2 linked regions of the Mytilus edulis genome follow. The protein of the gene in region 1 purifies or fractionates together with the protein of each later gene. This does not show direct contact. Links are inferred from orthologs where the notes say so. Each region holds a gene or a part of one and is shown on either strand. Other genes may lie near its edges.

Region 1 (12,672 bases):
TTTTTAGATGGAGTTTTGGTCTCATGACTGGAGAATTTCAATCAACATGTTATCAATGGGTTTTTTTCTGTGTTCATTTTGATAGTGAAACTAAATATTTCCCATTTTTTGTATGTTAAGATCATTAACATAAATTTATTCTATTAGTACGATAGATGAAGAACTTTTGTATTTACCATATTAAAAATTATGATTTCATAGATTTGAACACCTTGTGGATTTAAAAAAAGATGGAAGAAAAAATGAGCTTTCAAACATCCATCCCCTATACATACAGTTTAATTGGTGAACAAAATAGTTCATTACCATGTCCATTAATTTTGTAATTCGTTGGTGGTAAAAACTGCAAGGTTCTAGTGTATACAAGTTTAATATCAACTTTTCTCAGAGTAATAAGTCAAATAATAGCACCCCAGAAAGTTTTAGCATAACTGAGTTGTTATTGCATTTAATTTTGATGGTGAAAATAAACATCTTATAAATTATTTAGAATTTTTAGAAGTGTATCTTTTCAATACATACTTTTTGGTTTGTCCTTAAAAAGTTAAAAATTATTAAAGGAACAGTCTTATCATTATTATATAACTTAACATGTAGTTTTTTTTTATCCATATTTTCATGTAAAAACATTATTTAATGGAGCAGAATTTAAAAAACATTGTTAATGAAAAAACAAAGAGAGTATTAAACCTGAAACTTATACTACTAAATGTGTTTGAAATACACACAAAGGACAGAAGACTTGAGAAAATAAAAGATTTTAATTCCCCCAGGAAAAATTGCATGTATGTGTAACCGGAGAGCATGTATCTACTCTACAAATTCATATCGTCACCACCGAGATTCAACCCCGGTTGCCTGCGTGACAGTCAGTGCGTTAACCCACTGAGCCAAAGAATCGATTCCCTAGTTCAGTTGATTAAGACTGGCTTTATATGTTCTACCTGTACTAAGGAGGGGAAGCAATCCCGCTACACTATTCCCCCACCACGAGAGTCATAGTCATATATAAACAACACAAACCCTAGCTATACTCCAGTTAACCATCGTGGATTGTTTAGTTGGGCGCCAAATGTACGGAGATCATGTATCTACTCTACAAATTCATATCGTCACCACCAAGATTCGAATCCTGGTCGCCTGGGTGACAGTGAGTGCATTAACCCACGGAGCCAAAGAATCGATTCCCTAGCTCAGTTGATTAAGACTGGCCTTAAATGTTCTACCTCAGTAACCTGTACTAAGGAGGGGAAGCAACCACGCTACATATATAACATAAACCCATAAACAATCTAAACTACTACGAGCTGGTGCACCAGTACTCAACAAACACATAACAACATTAATAAATAACACCATAGAATCCAGTGAGTTTCCCCAACAGACTCAAAGAAGCTCAGGTTGTACCATTACATAAAAAGAATGATCCACTGGATAAAAAGAACTATAGACCTGTGAGCATTTTACCAACAATTTCAAAAGTCTATGAAATGGTTATGTCTGACCAGTTAACTGAATTTTTTGAGAACATATTTCATGCTTTTTTATGTGCATTCAGAAAAGGTCATGGATGTCAGACAACTTTGCTGAGACTCCTTGAGGATTGGAAAACAGCTTTGGATAATAATATGTATGTGGCAGCTATTCTTATGGATCTTTCGAAAGCTTTTGACTGTTTACCTCATGATATTCTTTTAAGCAAATTATCTGCCTACGGTCTTTCTTCTAAATCAGTGAAATTACTTCAAAATTATCTTACAGATCGTAGGCAACAAATCAAACTTCAGGGAGTACTCAGCAGTTGGGCTGACATCCAGAAAGGGGTACCCCAAGGCTCAATCCTGGGGCCCCTATTATTTAATATTTTTATAAACGACATATTTTATTTTATTGAACATGGTACCTTGTATAATTATGCAGATGACAATACTCTGTCTTATGCTGACAATGATTTTGATAATTTATTATGTACACTCGAAAGAGAAAGTGCTGTTTTAATTGACTGGTTCAGATTTAATTGTATGCAGGCAAATCCTGACAAATTCCAAGCCATTGCAGTTGGAAATAAAACATTTGCAAAAAAGCCTGTTTTTAATATACAGTCAGCAAAAATATCCTGTGATGAGATTGTCAAACTTTTGGGTATTGATATTGACTATCAACTTAATTTCAATCACCACATTAAAAATATTTGTCGTAAAGCATCCCAACAACTGAATGTTTTAAAGCGCATTGGCTGCTACCTTACTAAATTGAATAAACTGACAATTTTCCACACATTTATTTTATCTAATTTTAATTTTTGTCCTTTGGCATGGCATTTTTGCAACAAAAATAACACCACCAAATTGGAAAAAATTCAGGAAAGGGCTTAACGATTTATATATGAAGACTATGTTAGTTCATATGATGAACTACTTTTACGAGCAAAGGTTCCATCACTGAAAATAAGACGTATGCGTAACATGGCTATTGAGTGTTTTAAAATTTTATATAAATTGTCACAACCATGCTTACATGATTTAGTTGTTTTGAAAGACTGTAAATATAATTTTAGATATTCTAATATTGTAGATATACCTAGGGTCAGAACAACAACCTATGGTAAGAACTCTTTTAAATACACAGCTGCTGTTTTATGGAATGATCTACCTGATGATTTTAGAAAAATTGCTAATTTTAGTCAGTTCAAAAATATTTTAAAGTCATGGAATGGAAATGACTGTAAGTGCACAGTTTGTGCAGACTTTTAGTTTATATATTATGAAAATTTATTTACCATCTAGATCATATCCCATTTTTTTTTTTTTTTTTTTTTTTTATGCTAAGCATTTTTACCAGCTTTTATGCCTAGTTTACACTTATATGCTTTTAGCCTTAATACCTAGCTTATGCTTATATTCTGCTTTTAGTGCTTCATTTTTGTGCTGTGATATTTAATGCATGTGTACTATATTATAATGTATTATATTGTTATAAATGTTGTACTGTTAAATAATGTCTCATATGTCGGTTAAAAGCTCATTAGAGCTTATGTTTGTCTATGTTTTATATACCATGCCGACTCTAAATAAAGCTTATTTATTTATTTATTTATAACAAACCTCTATATGTTTGGCTTTAAGGACAATGCCATGAGCGCCTTCTCCTATCCTTCCCAATATTGTATACTGTTCCATTACCAATCTATAAAGATAACTAATATGTACCGAATGTTGAATGAACTTAAAACTAAAACCAAACTGTAATATGGTGCAGTCCGATGCAACTGCCCATCTAAGACTTATGACTTCTCTTAATTAAAAACTGATAAAACAAATAATCGGATAAAATCGTGAGAACAAATTCACAACATACTTTTATTTCATAAAATATTCTATATAAATACGGTTTTAACCTTAAAATTTTGTGTAATATGAATATAGAATAGAATAGAATAGAATATTTTTTATTACCAAATTAGGGCCCCAGGAGGGCATATGATACAGACAATATTATTATAAACAATAACATATGCAATACACACACAGTAAAAGATATGTAACAAGTGTTATAAAAATGATAAAATAAAATAATATAACACAGAAAATACACTCAACAAAATAGTAGCAATGTATTATTATTCAATGAATACTATGTGTATAAATATGTGTCCAAAATAAGGAAAACCCCTGTGGCAGTGGAATACAATTAAACCATTTTTTCTGTACAATTCTAACTGTTTGAATGATATTCAGTTTGGGTACAATATGCTTTTTATGTCGATTAATTTGTAAAAAATACTTTGTTGTTGTCAGGAAAGCATTTTTTTGGTCTAAATATGGTTTCTTTTGAAAAGAACGAAGACAAAGGGACATAACTAATATCTAAATTTGTTTAGTCCACGTTCGTCCCACACCATTTCGCCCCTTCGATGTTATCATAAAAAATATACACTTGGAACAAAGTTTTCTTCTTGTGATCAATACACCTATATTATAATTAGAAAACAGAATGGTGATATTGAAAAGAATTTTGTTAAAATGATATATAAATTGAATAAGTGATTAATTAAGTGGATAGATTACTATACTGCAGATCCAGATATACCAACCTAACATGTAGTCACTCAAGTTGTGCTACTCTCCTTGAGTAGTAATAAAACTGGAAATAAGAACTTCATATCCATAAAAAGTTTTTTAGTGTTCCGAATTTTTTTGGAACAATGATCAGTATTAGAACACTGAGGGCGGATCCAAAAGGGGGGGGGGGTCCGGGGTTTGAACCCCTTTTTTGGACGATCAATGCAGTTGAATGGGGACATTTGGCTGGAACACACACACCCCTTTATCCTGGGTTGGAACCTCCTTTTTAAAATGGCTGGATCCGCTTCTGATTAGATTGTTTCATGTCAAGTTCATCATGTGATAGAATCATGCGAAAAAAAACTGACTGTGTGCTTGTACCATCCATTTGTGTTAAGCAGTTCATAAAACAACATATACTCTAAATCTTTATCATTGTACAGAGCTACTGTGATAGAAAGAAATGCGATGAGAATTGTGAATCTGATACTGGAAATGTCAAACTGATAAAATAGGGTTTAAAACAAAATTTGAAAAATCTTTTACAACCGTAAATTTTGTCATCATTAATTTATTAAATACAGGCTTGCTTTTTCCAATTAAGAACCGGCAATACGAAGGCTCGTGCAGCCACACGATGGATTAAGTGTAAAGACGCCACAAACAGTCTGGGAAATATGTGACAATTGCATCAAATATGCATACATAATATCACGAAAATGTAAAACCACAAGTTATTATGCATACCAAGATCTTACTGCGGTGATAAATTGATCATAATTTATTCTTTAATAATGGGTTTATTCAGAGGTGCAACGAGTTTACACGGATAGTGTCTAAGTTGATAGGCTTTTAAACAACATTACTGTCAAAATTAGGATGTAATATCTGGTTAGAATTGAATCTTTGAATATATGAAAGAATACATTAAAAGTTCTAAGTAATATATGATAACGTACTCCCTATCTCTTTAACAAATGCTTTTTTCCCATTGAAGAATCTGATTTTATAACATCAGTTGTAGATCAGCACTATTGCATCTACCTACACCCAACTAAATTATAAAGATAATCGAAGATGTGGTACTACGCCAATGAGACAACTCTCCACAAGAGACCAATGACACAGGCGCTAACAACTAAGCTATTATGACGTTACGTTACCATTCGATATCGGCGTATCTCGAAAATGGAGTGAAAAGGATCTTCTTGTGTTATAATGACAACTGTATCCTTAATAGAATACAATCCAGACAATGGACCCCTCCATTCACCATCAACTTCAACTAAAGGGTTAGACAAGACAAAAGTTGCTAAGGTAGATATGAATGTTTTATTCAAAGAATATCTAAAAAGATATTAACGAAGCCAAATTACATTCGATTGTATAAACGCTCTTCAAAGATGATTAATGTTACCAAAGAAGATCGTGAAGTAAGTAATTCATCACGTGTTGAACTTAGACAATTGTTTTCTGTGAAAACTTAAAAGTAATATAGGTTTTAACAAATGTATCTTTTACGTTAACTTTGATTTTGGTAGTTCAACACTGCTTTTTGTTCTCGCCGCGACATTGGGCACTGACGCAGCTTACAACCAGTCCATTATGATCCACTATCCACCAATGATTAATAACAAAAACAACTATAAAGCCTAGCGCCCCCCCCCCCCCCCCCCCCAAGAAAAACCCCATACGAATTTACAACTGGATAGGTGTATAATAAGAATAAGCCACACAAAACAAAAATGTATTATAAAACTCCAACGTCGACGTACCAGATGACCTATCTCGAACTCCTTTGTATGTATAGCTCCTGTCATTTATTTGTTTTTACTCCCCCTTTTAGATAGGTAGTTTGACAGCGGGCAACCGAAGCAGGGAAGGCAGCTGTGATGTCAAGGAAATACAAGGGCTATCCCTTTTAAATACAGAGCTGACACACACACTTAAAAGTCGAACTGGAATACGTAGAAAACCGAGAGAGGTACGTGCAATATCTAAAGAAAAGAATGTGTTATAATAATCCGTGGTATTGTATCTCACTCGAATGATGTGGACAACTTTAATCTAGTGCGTAATCACCATTAGGTACTGTTGAAACCAAAATTTTAAAATGAAACACTTAGAAGAAGAAGAAAAAAAAAACAATTAGATAATCAACCACATATTGCTTATAGCTTCTAAGAAAACTCTGACAGTTGAAGATTTCACTTTAAAAAAAAAATCAATCTTTACTAAAATTCACAACATGACAACATCATGTGTATAGTGCCGGTTTGATAATTTGCAAATTTTTAGTAATTTTCGCAAACATGAATAAAAAAAAATCTCAAACAAAAACCCAAATTCCATTGAGAGAAAACTTTTGCCAGCCGCTATGTTGTTCTTAGTTCAAAAACATATTCAGTTTAATGTTTGACAAGGTTTTGTTCCAATATTGTAACAAAACCGTCTTCGACAACGATGTAAAGCGATGAAAAGCATTTTCTTTTTATGAAAATTTGTACAATCTATAATTTGTATTGTTGCGACTTTTCTATACACATTCCAGGTTTTACCTTTTTTTTAATTTGGAGTCTGCGATTGACAGAAATTCAGTGGAAACTGGACCTACCTCTTTCTTATAGTTATATGAGTTGTAATACTAGTTATTTTATATGTCCTTTTTCTTAGTTCATTAATGATAAATATCAGGTATACCTATACCAGATATGCCGCCACTGAGTGGTGTTGATACATTGATTTGTTGCAAAGAGAATGGAAAAAGAAATTACCAATTAATTTCATGAATATAAAAACACAAAGCAGACCTACATAATATTCATTTTTTATGTTAAGATTGATCTTCTTCCACAAAGACCATCAACTACCCAGTATTATCAGCACACGTTTTATGATCCTGCATGCGCCAAAGATGATATACAAACAGGACCACTGAGTGTCAATGGAGAAAAACTGGACGCTCTATCCAACCTGCAGTTCCGTCTGGTAATATTTCAAAAATGCAATTACATAAGAAATTGTCAAAAATGTATATAAAAAACGTCTAGATATATATATTAGTCAACGATCCATCCTTCTTACGAGGACGTTGGGTCGTTTGTACATAATCTAACTGATATGTACGCCTAATAGTATACAAAACATCATAAACATGATGATTATTGAACTCTATGAATCAGATATAACAATCTGAAATATAGAATTGCACCTCTTCAGGAAAAGTTGACCTCAGGCAAGTTATGCAAATTGTGTACATCTTTGACCGTAAGTTTTCTAACTTTTGGCTTTGAATGTTTAAAGTGGGTCGACTTGTATCCCCGAAAATGACACGAGTAGCTTTGATTGTATTTGCTTAACCATACTGTTTGAACACAACTAAGAACACTGTATGTGAAAAAAAATCATAATTAAATTCTACCTGCACATGCAGGAACATTTGCTTCTGAGAGATAATGGTCATCATGGGGTCATACTTTGTACATCTAGCAATAGATGGCCCCGACATGACAAAATGTAAACAATTAAAAAATGAAAAACCTTTTGTTAATGGTATTAACTCTTAAAAAATGAATTACAGTAATTGCATTTCTACATTCTTTGTTGATTTTTATTGCAGCCAAGTACGCCACTAGTACATAGACGGCAGTATTACATCAGCCAATCATTTAGCAGTACAACTTGTAGTGAATGCAGCCAATGTGGTGGAAGATCGTCTCCCGATAACCCACCGTCATCTCCCATTCGAGAAACGTCTTATTTGAAGTTGGATGGTAAAAAAATGTCATGTCCTGATTTCAGATCTAAATCTGAGGTAAATATTTTTAATGTTATCTGCGTTCCAGCTAAAACATAGATTCAAAGATCGTTGACAAAAGATTAAAAACACAAATATCAGAAATGTCACTGAGAATTTCAAAATCTTACATGCTTGACTTTTATTTAATAGAAATATAAGAATCATGTAAAATATCATGAATTGTTGGCGTTTAAAGCCACTTTCAGTGATATTGGCTATATCGTGGCAATTAGTTTTTATTGGTAGGGAGGTTGGAGAGAACCAACGACCTTCTGCATGAAACTTGAACTGAAAATCCTGATCAATTAAGGTTGATGTCAAACACTGCTAAGACCACTCTCATACCGATTGAGGCCTCCCTAAAAAGATAAAGTTTCATTTTATATTACAAAATATCGAAACATAAGGAATATCTTCATCATATTAGCCAAAACAAAACTTCAATAGAAATCTTCTGGAGCGTCTAGCTGGTATCATTTGAGAGCATTTTTATTGTGTAAACTTTAGACGCCTTACCGTTCATCGTCGGTCTTCTGTTTCTAGTAATTTGTCTTGTTCGCGTATTTTCCTCTTATTTGTAAATATGTATTTCACTTTTTCCTCACTAGGTTTGTTATGTTCTATATAATACTAAAATATGAATATAAGGGCAGTTAAATAACGATAGAAAAATAGTCTTAATAATTATCCAGTATAAGTACATGTAGTAATAAAGTGTAGATACAGGTAGAATGTGAAGTCTATATTTCGCTTCAAGTGGTAAGCTAGCGTTAAACTAAGAAACTTCAGTCTTTAAAAACTTCTTTAACTAATGCTTACGTCATACATTTCATTCTGGTATCAAGCCTATGTTATCAAAATACTACATTTTCGTAGAAGTTCAGTTTAGAATTCATAACGAGGGTGCAAATTAATATTTGAAAAGAAATATTTCTTTCTATTATCGGCAATGTGAAAAATATTCACTTCACGCATTATTAATAAAAAATATCCACGTACAAATTAATCTAGCTTCGTAGGTGCCGGTGGCCATGAACTAGCGTCACCACAAAATGCATGTCACCGGTTGTTTGACTTTGTAGTTGAAAGATTTCAAACCCGGATTATTAAAGAAAACGTCGTATTGCTGTGTCAAGTGTGAGGGTAGAATGATAAGCCACGACACGTTGATGATGGAATCGGAAAGTCCTTTCCAGTCTTATTTCCGCCAGCCAGCAACTTATGCAGAAACCCTGCCATATGACAACATACAACCACTACACCCAGACAAGAGCTTGGAAACTTGTGAAGAACTGATTATTGACCAGCCTCTAGAAGACAGTTTTCTAAAAGACGATATGTTTACTTTACCAGAATTACCACACCCTATAGCCAATGTAGAAGTAATATCTAGGGATGTATTAGAACGCTGTAAAGGCGGTCAAAGATCAAGGCTCAGCCCGAGATACCTTCATCACAATCAAAATAGAATGAGGTCTGATGAAAATGAAGAACTGTCAAGTTCAACTTGCATTATATCCAAACAGATATTCCACAGTTCTAACAAAACAGGTATTTCACAGTTCTAACAAAAGAGGTATCTTTTACATTCAGGTAGACGTTCAAATTAATGTACAACTATCTGTTTATCTTTTAAACAAATTTATTGTCATATCTTTGTATGCTTTAAAGATAAAGATACACAGCGACATAAACATAAAAAAACCAACTGAAGCTGTCAAATTCAGAGAAAATTGTTTTCAATTTAAAGGCGTTTACTTTTAAGGTTGTTTGACCTGCCACGTTCTTTGTGTATTTTCCAATATATCAAGGACCATATAAATTTAACCTCATTTTGCCATTAGAAACAAACACTAAAACCACATAAATAAAGGCAACAGTAGTATACCGCTGTTCAAAAATCATAAATCGATAGAGAAAACACTTCAGGGTTACAAACTAAAACCGAGGGAAACACATCAACTATAAGAGAAAGACAACGGAACAGAAAAAACTGAAGAGAAACAAAAATCAAACGCCAACATACAGCGAAACGGACTATTTGATAACAACTGCCATAAGTGGCATTTTCCAAACTAAGTCTTCCTAGGACCATAATCATAAAAAGACACAAAAAGCTATTTCAAAATCAACCCCTGCACGGTAAAAGTGAAAATCATCAATATCAAACTTGATTTCCATTTTTTCATCTTCAACATCATATTAACTAGAGGCTCTAAAGAGTCTGTGTCGCTCACCTTGGTCATTGTGCATATTAAACAAAGGACACAGATGGATTAATGACTAAATTGTGTTTTGGTGATGGTGATGTGTTTGTAGATCTTATTTTACTGAACATTCTTGCTGCTTATAATTATCTCTGTCTATAATGAACTCGGCCCAGTAGTTACAGTGGAAAATATTTTGTAAAAATTTACAAAAATTTACAAAATTTATGAAAATTGTTAAATATTGACTATAAAGGGCCATAACTCCTTAAGGGGTCAATCGACCATTTTGATCATGTTGACTTATTTGTAGGTCTTACTTACTTTGCTGTACATTATTGCTGTTTACAGTTTATCTCTCTATCTATAATAATATTCAAGATAATAACCAAAAACGGCACAATTTCCTTAAAATTACCAATTCAGGGGCAGCAACCTAACAACGGGTAGTCCGATTCATCTGAAAATCTCAGGGCAGATAGATCTTGACCTGATAAACAATTTTACTCATGTCAGATTTGCTCTAAATGCTTTGGTGTCAGATATATAATCCAAAATCTACATTTTACCCCTATGTTCTATTTTTAGTCATGGCGGCCATCTTCGTTTGTTGGCCGGGTCACCGGACACATTTTTTAAAATAGATACCCTAATGATGATTGTGGCAAAGTTTGGCTAAATTTGGTCCAGTAGTTTCAGAGGAGAAGATTTTTGTAAAAGTTAACAGACGACGACGATGACGGACGACGGACGCAAAGTGATGAGAAAAGCTCACTCGGCCCTTTGGGCCAGGTGAGCTAAAAATGTGGTTGAACGGTTCAAAAGATATTGCATGGAAACTGTTGTCAGCATCTGCCTTTGAAGTCCTAAATTTGAATGATTTATTTTTGAAGATTTATAGGACTCAAAATGAATTATACATTAGATAATAACTAAAATATTGGTTTATGTCTAATGATGATATGATTGCTTATTAAATGTTGTAGCATCTTTGTCAGTATACAAATCTGATATTTGTAATGCAATATATACAACTTTTTGTCTTAAGAAATTATAAACGAAGAAACAACAAGCCAACAACTTAGAGTTTCTACCAACGAAACTAATGCAATTCACCAAAACTCTGCAGAAAGTAAAGAAAAAGATACAAAAAAACGTGCTGTTGATGGGATAATTAATCTACTTTGGCCAAACCACCAACCATGTAAAAAGTACTTACATTCACCTATCCCTTTGTGGGAGCGACCAAACATCCAACCATGTGACAAGGACTTACATTCACCTGTTCCTACGTGGGAGCGGCTAAATCACCAACCATGTGAAAAGTACACACATTTAGCTTTCCCTTCGAGAGAGCGGCCGAATTACAAACCATGTGAAAAGTGCTCACATTTACCTGTCATTTCGATAGAGAAAGCCTCATCAATGTCAACCAGTGATCTAATGCAACAAAGTGAAGAAGCAGAAGCACCACCATCTCCTGGTTTAGAACAAAGTGAAGTAGCAGAAGCACCACCATCACCTGATTTAACACAAATTGAACTAACAGAAACAACACCACTTGCCGACTTAGGTTCTCCATATAACTCAAACACGGATATGCAGATTAGAATACATTTAGAAGATCCTAGTATTTCTGTAAGCATACATAATCTTCCGAGTAATTCGTCAGCAAAGGATAATGCCATTAGCATAGAGGCAGAAATTTTCAAAACAGAAGATGTCAACCAAACTTTGACAAATGCAGTATATTCAAAAGAAGAGTTTATAGGAAGAGTAAATGGCATGGAATCAAGGTTAGCGTTTTTACTTTACTTTTATCTTCAAACGTACTTATCAAATCTAGAACTTTCACACCAATATTTTAGTTCTAGCTTTGATATTGTTTTGGTGTATCAACACTAAATAAAAATGATACATATTCTATCTCATTCGATAAAACTAATATCCTCTATAGCTCTTAGCTAAATTAACAATATTATCCTCTTTCACTTCATTTAGCACAGCACCCTGCAACTTTTTTGGAACTACGTCTATTATATCGAAAGACTACTAATAACTGTGGGTTTTTTTTTCTGGTGTCGTCCATTCTATCCATTACAGATGTTCAAAGATATTAAAATTAACTTGGTCGGATAAGTTTTTTTTATAACTTTATCAATGTCATTAGTATTGTTGAATTAGACTATTTACCGGATTTGTAATCACATAAGCAACACGACGGGTGCCACATGTGGAGCAGGATCTGCCGCTTACCCTTCCGGAGCACCTGAGATCACCCCTAGTTTTTGGTGGGGTTCGTGTTGTTTATTCTTTAGTTTTCTATGTTGTGTCATGCGTACTATTGTTTTTCTGTTTGTCTTTTTCATTTTTAGCCATGGCGTTGTCAGTTTGTTTTAGATTTATGAGTTTGACTGTCCCTTTGGTATCTTTCGTTCCTCTTTTGAATGGAAATGTTATGGTAAAAGTAATTTATCCTTTTTTTCAGAGAGATGTTACAAGACATCATTCGCGAGTGTGCTCAGGGGTTAAGAGATGTATCCCATAGGGGATTTTTGCCAGGTAAGGATATTAATAAAAAAAAAATATGTTAAAAGACTCT
Region 2 (13,121 bases), on another chromosome or scaffold:
CATCTGCATCATGCTCACTACTTTTATCATCCCATGCATTATCATAATGGTCATTATTAACATTTTTAAGAGCTATCATTTTATTATAAATAGGTTTACGAAATGGTCTATCTCTGCCCCCAAATCTTAATTGTCCTGATTCTTTTTTCCCACCAAAGCCTCCCCCAAGTCTTCTAGGTACCCATCCTTTGAGTACTCGTTCACATTCATAATCAACAAAAACTTCAGAACCATCAATTTCTTGCTTATGTCCCCTCCAAACAGCATCCTCAGCCTCTTTATGATCATAATATTCAACAAAAGCATAACACCTAGAATATCCTGTTATAATATCACGTACTAATCTAAATTGCTTGATAACCCCATATCCAGAATAAACTTTTTGGATTGTTGTTTCGTCTGTTTTTGGATTAAGACGAGCTATGAATATTGTTTTCTCTGGATCACCTATTACATCTTTATTTGGTTTGTATTTAGCTGCCATTGCTCTGATGATGCCATGGTCATGTGGTTCTGTATCTGTGGCATCAATACTTCCTGCTTTCAACGGATCATAGACTTTTGCAATTGCAGACCAGTTATCCATTATTTCATTAAAGTTTTTAATCTGTAAAAAAAAGTAAATATATTTTATTATTTAAATTTTCAATGAATTTTTCCCAAAGACTACTATAAATATACACTTGCAAAGGTTAAAGGCACTGAGTGAACAGTATTTTGTTGTCCTTTGTCATCTTACCATCAGTCCTGAGAATATGCACATTGCACACCCTATGAATGCAGATAAGAATATGCTGTTTTAGAATCTAATGACACTTTAATTGTTCCATCATTTTTGTTCCTACCACAAGATGAAAATAACTTCTTGTCATTGGTTGCAATTGAATTTCCACTGTTTGGATCATTTTTACCCATTCACAACATTTTGATGTACACTTTTTTTTTAATTATTATCATGATTATATTACACAGGATGCAAATTTGTAAAGTTATCAATAATTGTTTTCTTAAACTTCAAAATTTAATGGTAAAAACACAATAATGAGATCATTTTCCAGTTTTACAAGGCATACACTGGAAGGATTATTCTCTTCTGAATTCTCCAACACCTTTGTCAACAATCACTGAGACCTTGTGATTACAATGAATTATATCACATAATGTACATGTGTGTAAATGAAGGATGCAAGACAGCTTGCCCCTCTCCAAAATCTTCTCACATCAAATACCCCCCACCTTTTCACAAAATTGCCCCACTCTGGTTTACCAACTCAACTCACTTATGAAGTAGAGGCTGTCAGAGTGACAGTAAACCAGATTTTCTACAGAGGTTGACGGTTGAGCAAGTATTGACACTACATAATCATTTACTAGTAAGCTGAAAACTTAAACAGCTCTGAATTTGGATTGTGATTGAATATTTGACACAGCAATAGGTTTGTGACACAAAATGAATGAGAAGGGGGGGGGGGGGCCAATACCTTTTTATATTAACCTGTTTTGGCCCTTTTCAAGGTGTTGTTAACTGTTATCTGAGATCAATTTAAGCTGTTAACTGTTTTCAACCCTGTTTGTTAACTAGTACTGTTATCAGCATTTTTGCATTTTTTGTTAACTGTTTTTGCCAAAGTCGAGGAAAAAAATTGAAATTAAACATTCACCCATTATGATCCAAAAGTACATGTTTATCAAAGTTTAATTTTGGACCCTGATTTAAACCAACTTGAAAACTGGTTTAGATTCTGCATTTGAAAGAAAACTATATAATTAATTATTATGGAATTTATGTTGAAATGAAACACATTTTAATTTTATTCATTAATTATTAATTTTCAGTTCAAAGGGAAATAACTTAAACTGAATAAATAGAAATAGTTCTCCAAAATTAGATATGATTTAACCACTAAAAACAGTTTTTTAAAATTAGATAAGAGGTTATTTCTATTTTCAAATTATAATCAATAAAATTAATGACCAATTTTTCTTTTGAAAATGTAGTCCAAATAATATGATAACTTGGAAGGCTATTTTAAATTTTTGCTTTGACGCCTTTCTGCGACGTAAGGCGTCAAAGAAAAAAATATAATAGCCTTTCAAGATGTCATAATTATTTGGACTATCGAAAATGCAGTTCAAAATGGTTAAATATTGTTGAATATATAGGTCTTTGTCTGCGCTGTATTGGTCTTAATTGCCACTGACATGATAATTGGATTAGAGATAACTGAAATTTAACTTCAATATCTCAGGGATCTCCATGAATGAAAATTGAACGATGGAGGAACTTTCACAATCACAAACCGTGTCTACGCCATACAGTGTAGCGTGATCGAAAGTATTTCATCCCTCCATGTCAGGAATGGTGAACATGCTAATTCATTTACTTATCTACCATGATCTACGGTAAATTATATTTACTTGAATTTTCATTATACAAGTATCAAAATTTTCATTAATTACCGTTTGTAACTATTCAAATGCCAAGCCTTCATAGTCCCCTCTTAGTCGAGAATGACCAAAAGCTGTCATGAAGGTCCCCATGTAGTTTTCTTGCTATTTTTTGGTACTTGTTATGGGGGTTAAAAATCATGTGGAGCTTATTTTTCACGGGAACTGTCAAATTCAGAAGTCATGATTCATGACTCATGAATCCATTACCAGTATGGCTGATTTGCAGCAACAACAAAACAATTCTTTCGGTTATGTAAAAGGTTGAAGAGATTTAAAAAGCAAACATTGACAAATGAAAAGGTTTTTAATGACTTTATCTAGCAAATTGATGCTATGCAACATGCATCTTTCGAGTCTGAATATAAACTGGAAACACGGATGTATCAATTTGATTGTAAATTAGGAAATGAATCGGAATTGCGATACGATATTTCTTCACAGTAAATACTTAAGTTTTTACTTTTTAACTTTTAAAGTAATTCTATAAGATCGTTACAGCAGTACTCAAATTATTTGAGATGAAATAATATTAATGTTTTACATCTTATTTTGTACTTCTTAAAAAAGGGGGATGCTGATTGCGTAAACTCCAAATAAAAGCACATGTTCGACTTGTTAAACTGTTTTCTTTGTAACTGGATTATTAATTTATTTTTTATAGTCTAAATTATTATAAGCTTTTTCTGAAACTTAGGTGAATAACTTGATAAACGAATCGTCTTTCTTCAGACATTTCAGATAGTATTCTCCTGTGTGGTTTGTTGATCTACCTGTACAAGCTCGGGTACAAGTAATTAATTATCTTTATCTAGATATCCCTCAGGCGTTTGAACTGTATTGGATTATAATATAAAAAAGCCTAAGGGTTATGCAATTACATGCATTTGATTATAATTGCTAAAAAAATGGAAAGGTTTCTTATCGTCGAGTTGCAATTTATGAGTTAAGAAAGTCGAGTTGCAAGTTAGGAAAGTCGAGTTGCGAGTTAAGAAAGTCGAGTTGCAAGTTATGAAAGTCGAGTTGCGAGTTAGGAAAGTCGAGTTGCGAGTTAGGAAAGTCGAGTTGCGAGTTAGGAAAGTCGAGTTGCGAGTTAGGAAAGTAGAGTTGTGAGTTACAAAAATATCTTTGACACCTAATTTTCAGGTTTGATTCACACTTGATAAACAAAGCATGCATGTATCCGAACTAAGTTATTCCCGTGATTGCAGAATTTGAATGAGGTATATGTGATACTTATTTATAAGAGTCTAGTAAAAGTTAAGTTCTGGAAGTATTTGAAAAAAAATAATGTTTCCTTAAAGGACGAGATCGATCTTATTTATTCCAGTGCGTTTACACTACAACATAAAAAGGATAAAAAGAACCAGTCTGACCATAAATTACCTTATTACCGTATATTTGGTAAACAAATAATCCTAAAAATAGAATAGTAAAGGAAATTCGGCATCTCGCGTGGACTATAACACACTGCAAAATAATGGAGAAAATAGTTTGCTCATTGGAATTTCGTATGGATTAAATTTTTAAAAAGCTGAATATTCATAATTTGGAAGTAAAGCTTTACTTTTTTCTCAAGTCAGTTAACAGAGGCGGATTTAGAGGGGTTTTCAGGGGGCCCTGCTCCCCCCCTTTTTTGCAAAAAATTTGGTTTATTATATAGAGAATCACTGAAGTATGACTGGAGCGGGTCCCCTCTTAGGCAGTCAGTGGACCCCCACTTATGAAAATTTCTGGGTCCGCCATTGGTTAAGCAAAAACTTTGTTATATTTTGGTACAAAAAAAAAAGGTACAAAGAGTTATAAATTAGATACTTATTTCAAATTGAAAAAATGTTTTTCTAAAGAAATGTACCTACATGCATCTTTAAAACAATTTTAAAATGAAGTGTCATATGTAAAATCAGAATCAGTGGCCATGATCTCAAAATAGAAAGAGACTGATATAAAACTTTATATAATAAGACTTTAAAGGCTTTGTAAGAAATGTACTCTAAATCTAGTTGAAGATGAATAACATTTCATTACAAGTTGTCCAGCATGTACAAAGATGATCTGAAGGGAGATATTTTACAGTCTCTGTACTAATTTTTCCTATCTCTCAAATGAGACAAAATTTGTTTGGTTATTTACTAATGAAAATTTGTCTGTACTTAAATATTTAGGAAACTATATTATTACATATCGAGATGTTAGACGAAATGTAAATGAATATATGTACATTGTAATAACAATAATAATGTTAATTGTAATGATTTTATAGTTCAGGTCCTGTCTTGAATTAAATGTATGTGACTTATTAGAATAACATTTCAACAGCAACCCAACCAAAATATACAATTCAACCAAAGGCCATTAGGTTTTCAACACAGCGAGGATCACCCACCTAGAGGGAGCCCTGAGCAGGCCCAGAAACACAATGTTCATTACATCAAGAATATGGACCCCATTCTATGCTCCTAAATATAAAGATAAACCAAAATTTTTAAAAATATGCAAGAGTAACAAAGGCTAACTATTAAGGTTCCTGACTGAGCACCTTCATCTCTAGCCGATGTAGACATACAATGTATATAATTTTAACGTCCACAATATTGAGTGTCACTGCCAAAGAATAAATTTTGCGGTCCCTAACGAAAAAAATTGCCCGGCTCTGGAGCTGCCCCATAAAGCTCACTCTATACGAAATCTGCAGAACTGAAGGGTTATTTTACATTTATGTATTAAAGTTTGGTTGCTATCTCCCTTTATGTTTAATATGACGGTGCTAGCTATGAAATTTAATAATAATTAAACTGCAAGCCATCCGCTGTATTTCAAAAGGCTATCTGCTTCTTCAGAAAATACGATACGTATGATTTATATGTAAGCAATCCATTTTATTTTTACAAGAGACTCAGATGAAGTCCAAACAACAAAAATAATCAACAATACTGTATACAATTCTATAAGCCATCATCATTCCAAATAAATATAAATCACTGAGTTTCGTTAGCACATTTTGACGCAACTCGACTTTCCTAACTCACAACTCGACTTTAATAACTCGAAACTCGACTTTCTTAACTCGCAACTCGACTTTCTTAACACACAACTCGACTTCTGTAACTTGAAAATCGACTTTCTTAACTCGTAACTCGACTTTCTTAACTCGTAACTCGAATTTCTTAACTCATTTGTGACTTGCAACTCGACTTTCTTAACTGGCAACTCGACTTTCCTAAATCGCATTTCGACTGTAGTAACTCTTTACTCGCAACTCGATACTCAACATCAAGTGAATCTCAAAAAATGGTGTTGAGCTATAAAAAAAGATTACAGTTTTGAACGATGGCGGAAGACAATTTAATGATGGCGCAGGTTATTTGATGATGGCGCAAGACAATTTAATGATGGCGCAAGATATTAGAACAATGGCGAGGCACAGGATATTTAAACGATGGTGGGGAGCCATGACTTTAAACAGGCCATGGAGATCCCTAATATATATTGAATTTTCAAATGTGCAGACAAGAAAATAAGCATGGCGTGGGTAATTTTAACTTAGCGTTTGTAGTTTTAGCTTGTTGCACTGCCACACTTAATTATTAGGTTGTGATGATCCCTGTTTGAATAATGTATATTGATTTAGGTGTCATACCACCAATTACTCCCTCAAATTTAGAACGTATGTGAAAGTAGGCCTACTCGGACAAAAAAAAGTGCATTTGATGTCATTGTTCACCTAAACTAACCAACAAATTTGCAGAAATGAAAGTTTTGTTCAAAGAGAAATATATTAAGACCATTTTGAGCCAAAATTTACCTGTCTATGAGTTTGCATTAAAAATTGAGGATTAATGCGCTCCATAGTATACTAATTTAAGATTTCCAGAAAACCAGGGGTTATTTTTAGTGGTACCTCCTTTCGGAAGCTCTCTGCTTTCTTATATGATTTTGAATGTAACGTGACGGTACCCAAATTGCACCTATTTTGACAGTTTTTTCATCTACGTTTTTTTATGATGAAGACAAAAATGTCCAGTCTGTGTTTATTTTGTAGCCCTATCCTTCTTTATTATAAAGGTACACCAATTTGATTTTTATTTCATATGGAATCATAGAAAAATTGGTCTAAACTGACCTCCAAACCATCAATGATTCTGAAATTAGGAGTACCCAAATTGCTTCCATGCTTAAATTCGCATCGTCAAAAGTCTAATAACAGAGCTTTTGTTTAATTTCTTTAAATATTTTGAACAATTGGATATTAGTCCATGCTTACTCTTCATTATTTTTTAAATGGATACTTGTAACATATTGTATTTGCTCATTTTAAAAAGATGACGTTTTGATGACGTCGCATGGTGACGTTTCAGTACATTTTGCTTTTTCAGTAAATACTTCATCTGTTGATAGATACTGTGAACGTTTTGTGCATATCTAAATAGTTTTACCTATGTTGAAAGATGTGCTTAGTATCAAATCATAAAAAAACAAATTGTTTAGTCTCTAGAAAATCTTGTAAGATTTTCGCTGCTAGTTTTGCTAAATAGGTGCAATTTGGGTACTTGGTGCAATTTGGGTACCGTTACGTTATGTTGAAAATTGGCATGAAGAAAGGTGACACCTGTACAATTCAGGATATACCTAGTTTCTATGAAGTTAAACTTAAGGTAAAATATTTAGAAAGCTGTGAAAATTGCAAAATTTGGTTGAACAGATAGGGACTTTTAATTGGTGGTATGACACCTTTAGTGTCCTGTATTCTGTGTCCAACAATAGCAGATAACATTATCATATGGGTACCAGACAGTACAGCTAGTTCATGGAATTTTTTTTTTGCGGCTACAAATTCATATCATGACTAAACAACAGCTTTTTTTAAGTTGTATAAACCAGCATTTTAGGTGTTGATTTAATTACCATAAAAATGTTGATAAGTTTGCTTACTCAACTCTAAAAGATAAGAAGGTTTTGATGGGTCTGGTTTTTTTCTCAAAGTAACCAGTCGTATACACTATTTGCGGTTGTCGTGTATGGGAATCTAATTAAAAAAAAATATTTGCATTTTATTTACTTTATCAATATATGGTATATTAAATATCATATATTAATCATGGAATCTGCTATTTTTTTTAATTAAAATCATTGTTTTTATTCAACATGCACCGGTAATAGTATGTCGTAAAAAACATTCAGAAGTGAAAGTTGATAATCTTTCCGTATTTTTATTTGCAATTTGTTTTTCTAACTGTCACTTAAACATTCCAGTAACAAGAAAGTAGGTAGATGAGATGATAAAATACATCAGTTACGAAAAGTTAACTGTAGATTGATAATTGCTACGAATTTGATCATTTGATGTTCAGAGTGTGCATGTTTGACCTTTTTAGTTTTTGACAGCATGATTTACAGACCGGTATCAAACACTGGCTTAGGTACAGACTGCAGGATTTTTAATTAAAAAAAAATGTTTTTTTTTTTTGCAATGAATATTAAAATTTTCTATTTTCATACCACATACTTAACATTACAATACTTGTCTTGAAATTTTTCTGATGAAATTATCAATATAAAGTACGTAGCAATACCACCGCTAGAGCTACACAATACACCTTATCGCTATTCCCGGCTGACCCGTCCGCTTGAACTTTTGACGTCAACAACAATCACTTTTCCATTGTGGCGTCAGACATTTTGTTTTATGACGTCAAAATTTTACGGGAACCTGTGTGATTTCCAGCAATGGCGGACAAATAGCGATAAGGTGTATACAACATCCATAGCTAGAGGACACACAACACTATTTCTTGTACCGTATGCCAGAACTTCAACATACAGGCATTCCTTCTTTCCAGACAGCATACAGATATGGCCTTCCACAACCTTTGGTGGATAGTACCTAACTAGATGCTTTCAAGCAGGGGGTACTGAGCTGTAGTATCCCTTAATCGCACCATCAGACTGTTTTTAACTTGCACCTGTAAATATTTTCTTGCACCTTTGTTGTCACACCCAGCATGGGCAATAGTGCGATAATACTCAATTAGAGGACTGCACTGTATTGGAAGAAGAAAAAGTAAATTTTGTTCTATCATGTCTATAATGACTTTTTTAATGTACTTTTGAATATTGGTTAGGAATGTCTTCTTTGGCAAAGAAAGTTGAATCCAGAGGTTGCAGCTTTATCTGAGTATTTTCATAATAATGATGCAGAGAGCATCTACTACTCATGCTACTGGCACATACAAGTGAAATCAATCAATTCATTTGTAAAGTTAGATATTTTCGCCATGAAAGTATGTCCACCAGACACTATTTCACAGAATTGTGTCCACTGTTATTATGAAATTTTGTCAGGATGATATCTTGTCCTCAGATGTGAAAAGTGTCCTTCAAAGAAAGGACCATATTTCATAGGCTAAGGGTTCCTTCATAGAATGGACAGTATCTTACACAAAACAGTGTCTACTCTCAATACCTATGTATGGGGGTTTTGTCTCTAATAAACATGATAAAACACATGACATGTAAACTTTTAGTTTTTAAATCATACGAAATATCATCACCATGTGTAATTTAACATTAATTTTACAATAAAAACATGCACTTATACACACACAAACAGTAATAGAATTGAGAATGGAAATGGGGAATATGTCAAAGAGACAACAACCCAACTTAAAGGCAGTAAGCAGACAAAGGTGTTGTTCATGAAATGCATTTAAAAATATTTTGTTTAGAACAACAGAAACCCAGATATATATTTATACTATTAAATGAGAAGACCTCATTTTGTGTGTTGCTTCTCTTCCTTCCACAATAAATTAATCATCATGCCTTTGTGTCCTATAGGCATGATATATAGGTACAATGCATAGTCTCATTTATCATTTATTTATCATCCTTGCTTATGATTATTCAGTTTGGGTTATTTTGGGAGGAAAATAAACATGATAAAGGTGTCCAGATATTGTTTTAGACTAGATTTTAAGTACTTTGGGACAGTACAATTATTTTAGAGTTTTTCTGTATACTGTGATCATACATACATGATATATAGTATAAATAAAGTGTATTTGCTATTTACTATCAATTCCAATACTGTTGTTTACTTTCCACCATTTATACATGTTTACCCGTACTACATTTTTGTACATGTTATAGTATGTGTTCATTATATACAGAAAAACAACAAAAAATGGTCTGGAAAAAAGGGGAAGGGCTAAAAAAAATAATTGTCCTGTTCTCAAGTACAATGTACCTATGACTAATGAAACCTTTCCTGTAATTTTCCAGGTACAATTTTTTTTACAAAAAATTATCCTTCAACAGATTACATATGCTCTAAATGCGATTTCTTGGGTGTGTTCTAGTTAAATTGAAAAAAGAATATTAAATTATTAAGACATCATTAACCTCTAGATATTACAATGTATTATGCAGGTCATAGGTTAAAAAACGCTAAACAAGGCCTTAGGCAGCAACCATTTGATTTTTTGAGGGGGCTATGGATTTTTTCAGCCTTATTTTGGCGACAAGTCGAAAACATTATTCTTTCAATTTTAGCATTACATACATGTATAGTGGCAGCTGAGGGTGAAACAAACATTTTTTTTTCTCAAAGTAAAAAACAAATTATTTTTTTCTCCAAAAACTGGAAACAGACTTCTTTCCAAAAAAATCCATAGCCCCCCCCCCCCCCCCCCCCCCCCCAGAAAATCAAATGGTTGCTGCCTTATAATTATTGTGAAGAATAAAATGATTAGAGAGACAACGGAGAGCTAACTAAATAATTCATTATCATTAACAACTCTTTACAGTCTACCATGCACCTGTTATGAATATATTTCACACATATAGTGAATATAAAGCCTCTTTTGTTACATGATAAGTGGTAATCAGGTCATCAATGGATTATTTGGACTTGTCAATCAATAATATAGTTTCTGTTTTACAGGTACATTTTGGTCATTTATTACAGGCTACATGTATATCAAATACAATATAAACATTTTTTGATGAAATAAGAAATTTGAAGGATTATTTTAATTTGTAAAAAATATAGTACAGTGTAGTATATCAAATACAATATAAACATTTTTGAAGGATTATTTTAATTTGTAAAAAATATTAGTTATATTTTTTACAAATTCAAATAATCCTTCAAATTTCTTATTTTATCAAAAAATGTTTATGTTGTATTTGATATACATGTAGCCTGTACACGTGTACATTAGCCATGAAAACTCAATCAATAATAATACAAATTGTACATCATTGTACAAACAGCTATATATGGCTTAGTGCACATGTCAGAAATCTCCTTTTAGTTTTTAGTGTTTAAGCTCTCTTTAAGCATTTAGTATTTAGTCAGGCGCAGGACATTTTAGGGAGAAAAAAAATAGCTACATGTACTAGGGGACATTTGAGCGACAACACTAGAGCCCATTTTTGCATTAGATTAATTCGTTCACCTGTATATTTCGATAGCCCGTTTTAGGGAAAACTTACCTGGTTGAATATTAGTAACTCACTAAGCTTTGGGCAGAAGTTCATTGTATTTTAAAGGGAACAAATAGTGGTCCAGAGTCGTTCCATGACCATTATAATGAGCAATGTTATAGTTGTCATCCAGCTATTTACGTTTTTCTTGATACTATTTTCAAATTGCAAACAACATATACAAAAACACGAAGTATAGACGAATGTGCATCAAAATCTAGACAAGATAAAGAGAAAGAACAGTTTCTAATGCAATTCAACAGTATTGTATGGGGGGTATATCCAGAGCCCATTACGTACGTTCTCTAGGACATAAATTCCAGGCTAGAACGAACTTGTAACATTTGATTAAATCTTTGAGACATTTAGTGCTGTATTTTAATGGACATCATATGTTTTATATTGTGATGTCTTGAGTCTATTAAAGTTTTTCGCTAAAATGGGTTCTACTTTGGCGCTAAAACGTCTGATTTTTTTCGGAACATAGTGATGATTAGTTGAAAAGTTCCAACAGAACATATCAACTAGTTAGAAAGTTACTTTTTGCCAAATTAGTCAAAACCAGAACTAACAAACTAGCCCAAAAGTTCCAACAGAACTTATCAACTAGTCACAAAATTCCATTTTGAGAATTGATGCAAAGACCCACATGAGGAGGGGGTATTCTTCCCTCTCTTGAGGGTACTATGAATACTAAATTTGCATGATAATGCAACTTATTACGTTTTATGTGAGCTATGAAATACAACTTAAATTTTGCTGGGTGAGTTTGTTCTTCCCCCTTAGTACATCAAAATTTAAATACATTTTCATTATTTCCCCAAAAATAAGGTTCCATTCCCCTTTTTTCATTTTTGTCCCCCAAAGAAACCCCTTTCAGTGCGTTGGGTATTCTTGTAAATTAATGATTTACTCTTATTTATAGTGAAACTCATTCTTCTCCCTCTTTCTACAAAAAGGACGAAATATGGTATATTCGGAATGATGTAACTAGTTGTTCTGTTCTGCCATTGTCCCGGGACTTTTCAACTGGCTACTTTTTTCCAGAACTTTTCTGCTGCACTCGGAATAAAACAACCAGTTTGTAAAGTGACATCGAAACAAAATAACTAGTTGAAAAGTTCTGCCAGAACAAAGTAATTACGGAAGATAGTGGCTGTTACATTGTTGCCTATTATAAAGAACTATTTTTCCCCACCATTCTTAATCAAACTGTAAATTGCTGTTGCTTTTGGTGAATTAATTGATCTTGAAGATAAGACTCTTGCAAAATTCTAGATTATCTGAACTGAGTATTTCATTTTTAATTATTTATATATAATTTTAGTGTCTGATAGTGACCAAAATACTAATGCCATCACAGAGGAGCAAAGAAAACAACAGCTAGCAAAATTAAATTTGAATGTGGATGAATCTATAACTGCAAGTGACAGTCAAGCCCATGTGTCTAATAAACAGGTCAATGGCTTTCCAGATAAAACAGGGGACACAAACATTCAAACAGGGGTAATAACAGATAGTGTTAATATATCAGAACAAACAAATAAAAGTGATTCCATAAATTCTAGTCAAGATAAAACTGACACCATTCAGAGTAAAAGTGTGCCTAATGAAATCGTAGAAGACATTGCCGATGACATATCGGATGGAATCGTGAAAGATTTTTCTAAAAATATAGCTACATATGTAACAGAGGTGTGTAAGTTTGATGAACAATACGAGAAAGAACAAATGAATGAATCGTCAGAAACTCAGGATAAAGATTCAGCTAGTTCAAATAGTGAAATAAATGAAAATTCTTCTGAAGAAAAAACAAATGAACCAAATTCAGAACAATCAGAAGGGGCTAAAGAAGAATCAAGTTCAGTTGAAGAGGAAAAAGAAGCCACTCAACCAAATCCAGATATTATCAAGAAAAATGATGTAAACGATAAAACAAAAGAAAAAAAGAATGGCGAGGATGAAGATGGTTACTTAGACTTACTAGGAAATGGTTTATTAAAGAGAAAGGTAAAGATTCTTTTAATGATTAAACTTACTAAATACATGTATATAAAAATTATAAACTAGCTGACTTACATATATGCTAGCAGGTGACTGGTGCAAAGACTTTGCATTCCTTACTTTGCTCTACAATCATGTACCAACTGTCAAAAGCGATATCTAGTGGCCTGGGTGTTCACAAT

The links.
Region 2: the proteins of cyclin-dependent kinase 20-like (region 1) and peptidyl-prolyl cis-trans isomerase FKBP8-like purify together in Homo sapiens (affinity purification with mass spectrometry; 5 studies listed by BioGRID and IntAct, with this or other methods). This does not show direct contact. The link is inferred for Mytilus edulis from reciprocal best matches to the Homo sapiens genes CDK20 and FKBP8.

Annotation. Positions count from the first base shown.
Region 1 is NC_092344.1:102,309,315-102,321,986, forward strand, and holds the start of cyclin-dependent kinase 20-like, read right to left. Parts: upstream 5,122-12,672; 5' UTR 5,024-5,121; intron 3,856-5,023; exon of another isoform or gene 3,784-3,855; intron 3,419-3,783; exon of another isoform or gene 3,398-3,418; intron 3,199-3,397; exon of another isoform or gene 3,187-3,198; 5' UTR 3,180-3,186; coding exon 3,105-3,179; intron 1-3,104. Other genes in the region: uncharacterized protein, read left to right, coding at 5,283-5,381, 5,911-6,048, 6,903-7,052, 7,684-7,878, 8,946-9,414, 11,119-11,866, 12,559-12,632. UniProt on the Homo sapiens protein: Required for high-level Shh responses in the developing neural tube.
Region 2 is NC_092347.1:90,562,311-90,575,431, forward strand, and holds the start of peptidyl-prolyl cis-trans isomerase FKBP8-like, read left to right. Parts: upstream 1-7,597; 5' UTR 7,598-7,710; coding exon 7,711-7,711; intron 7,712-12,262; coding exon 12,263-12,945; intron 12,946-13,121. Other genes in the region: U11/U12 small nuclear ribonucleoprotein 35 kDa protein-like, read right to left, coding at 1-607, 7,354-7,356. UniProt on the Homo sapiens protein: Constitutively inactive PPiase, which becomes active when bound to calmodulin and calcium. Seems to act as a chaperone for BCL2, targets it to the mitochondria and modulates its phosphorylation state.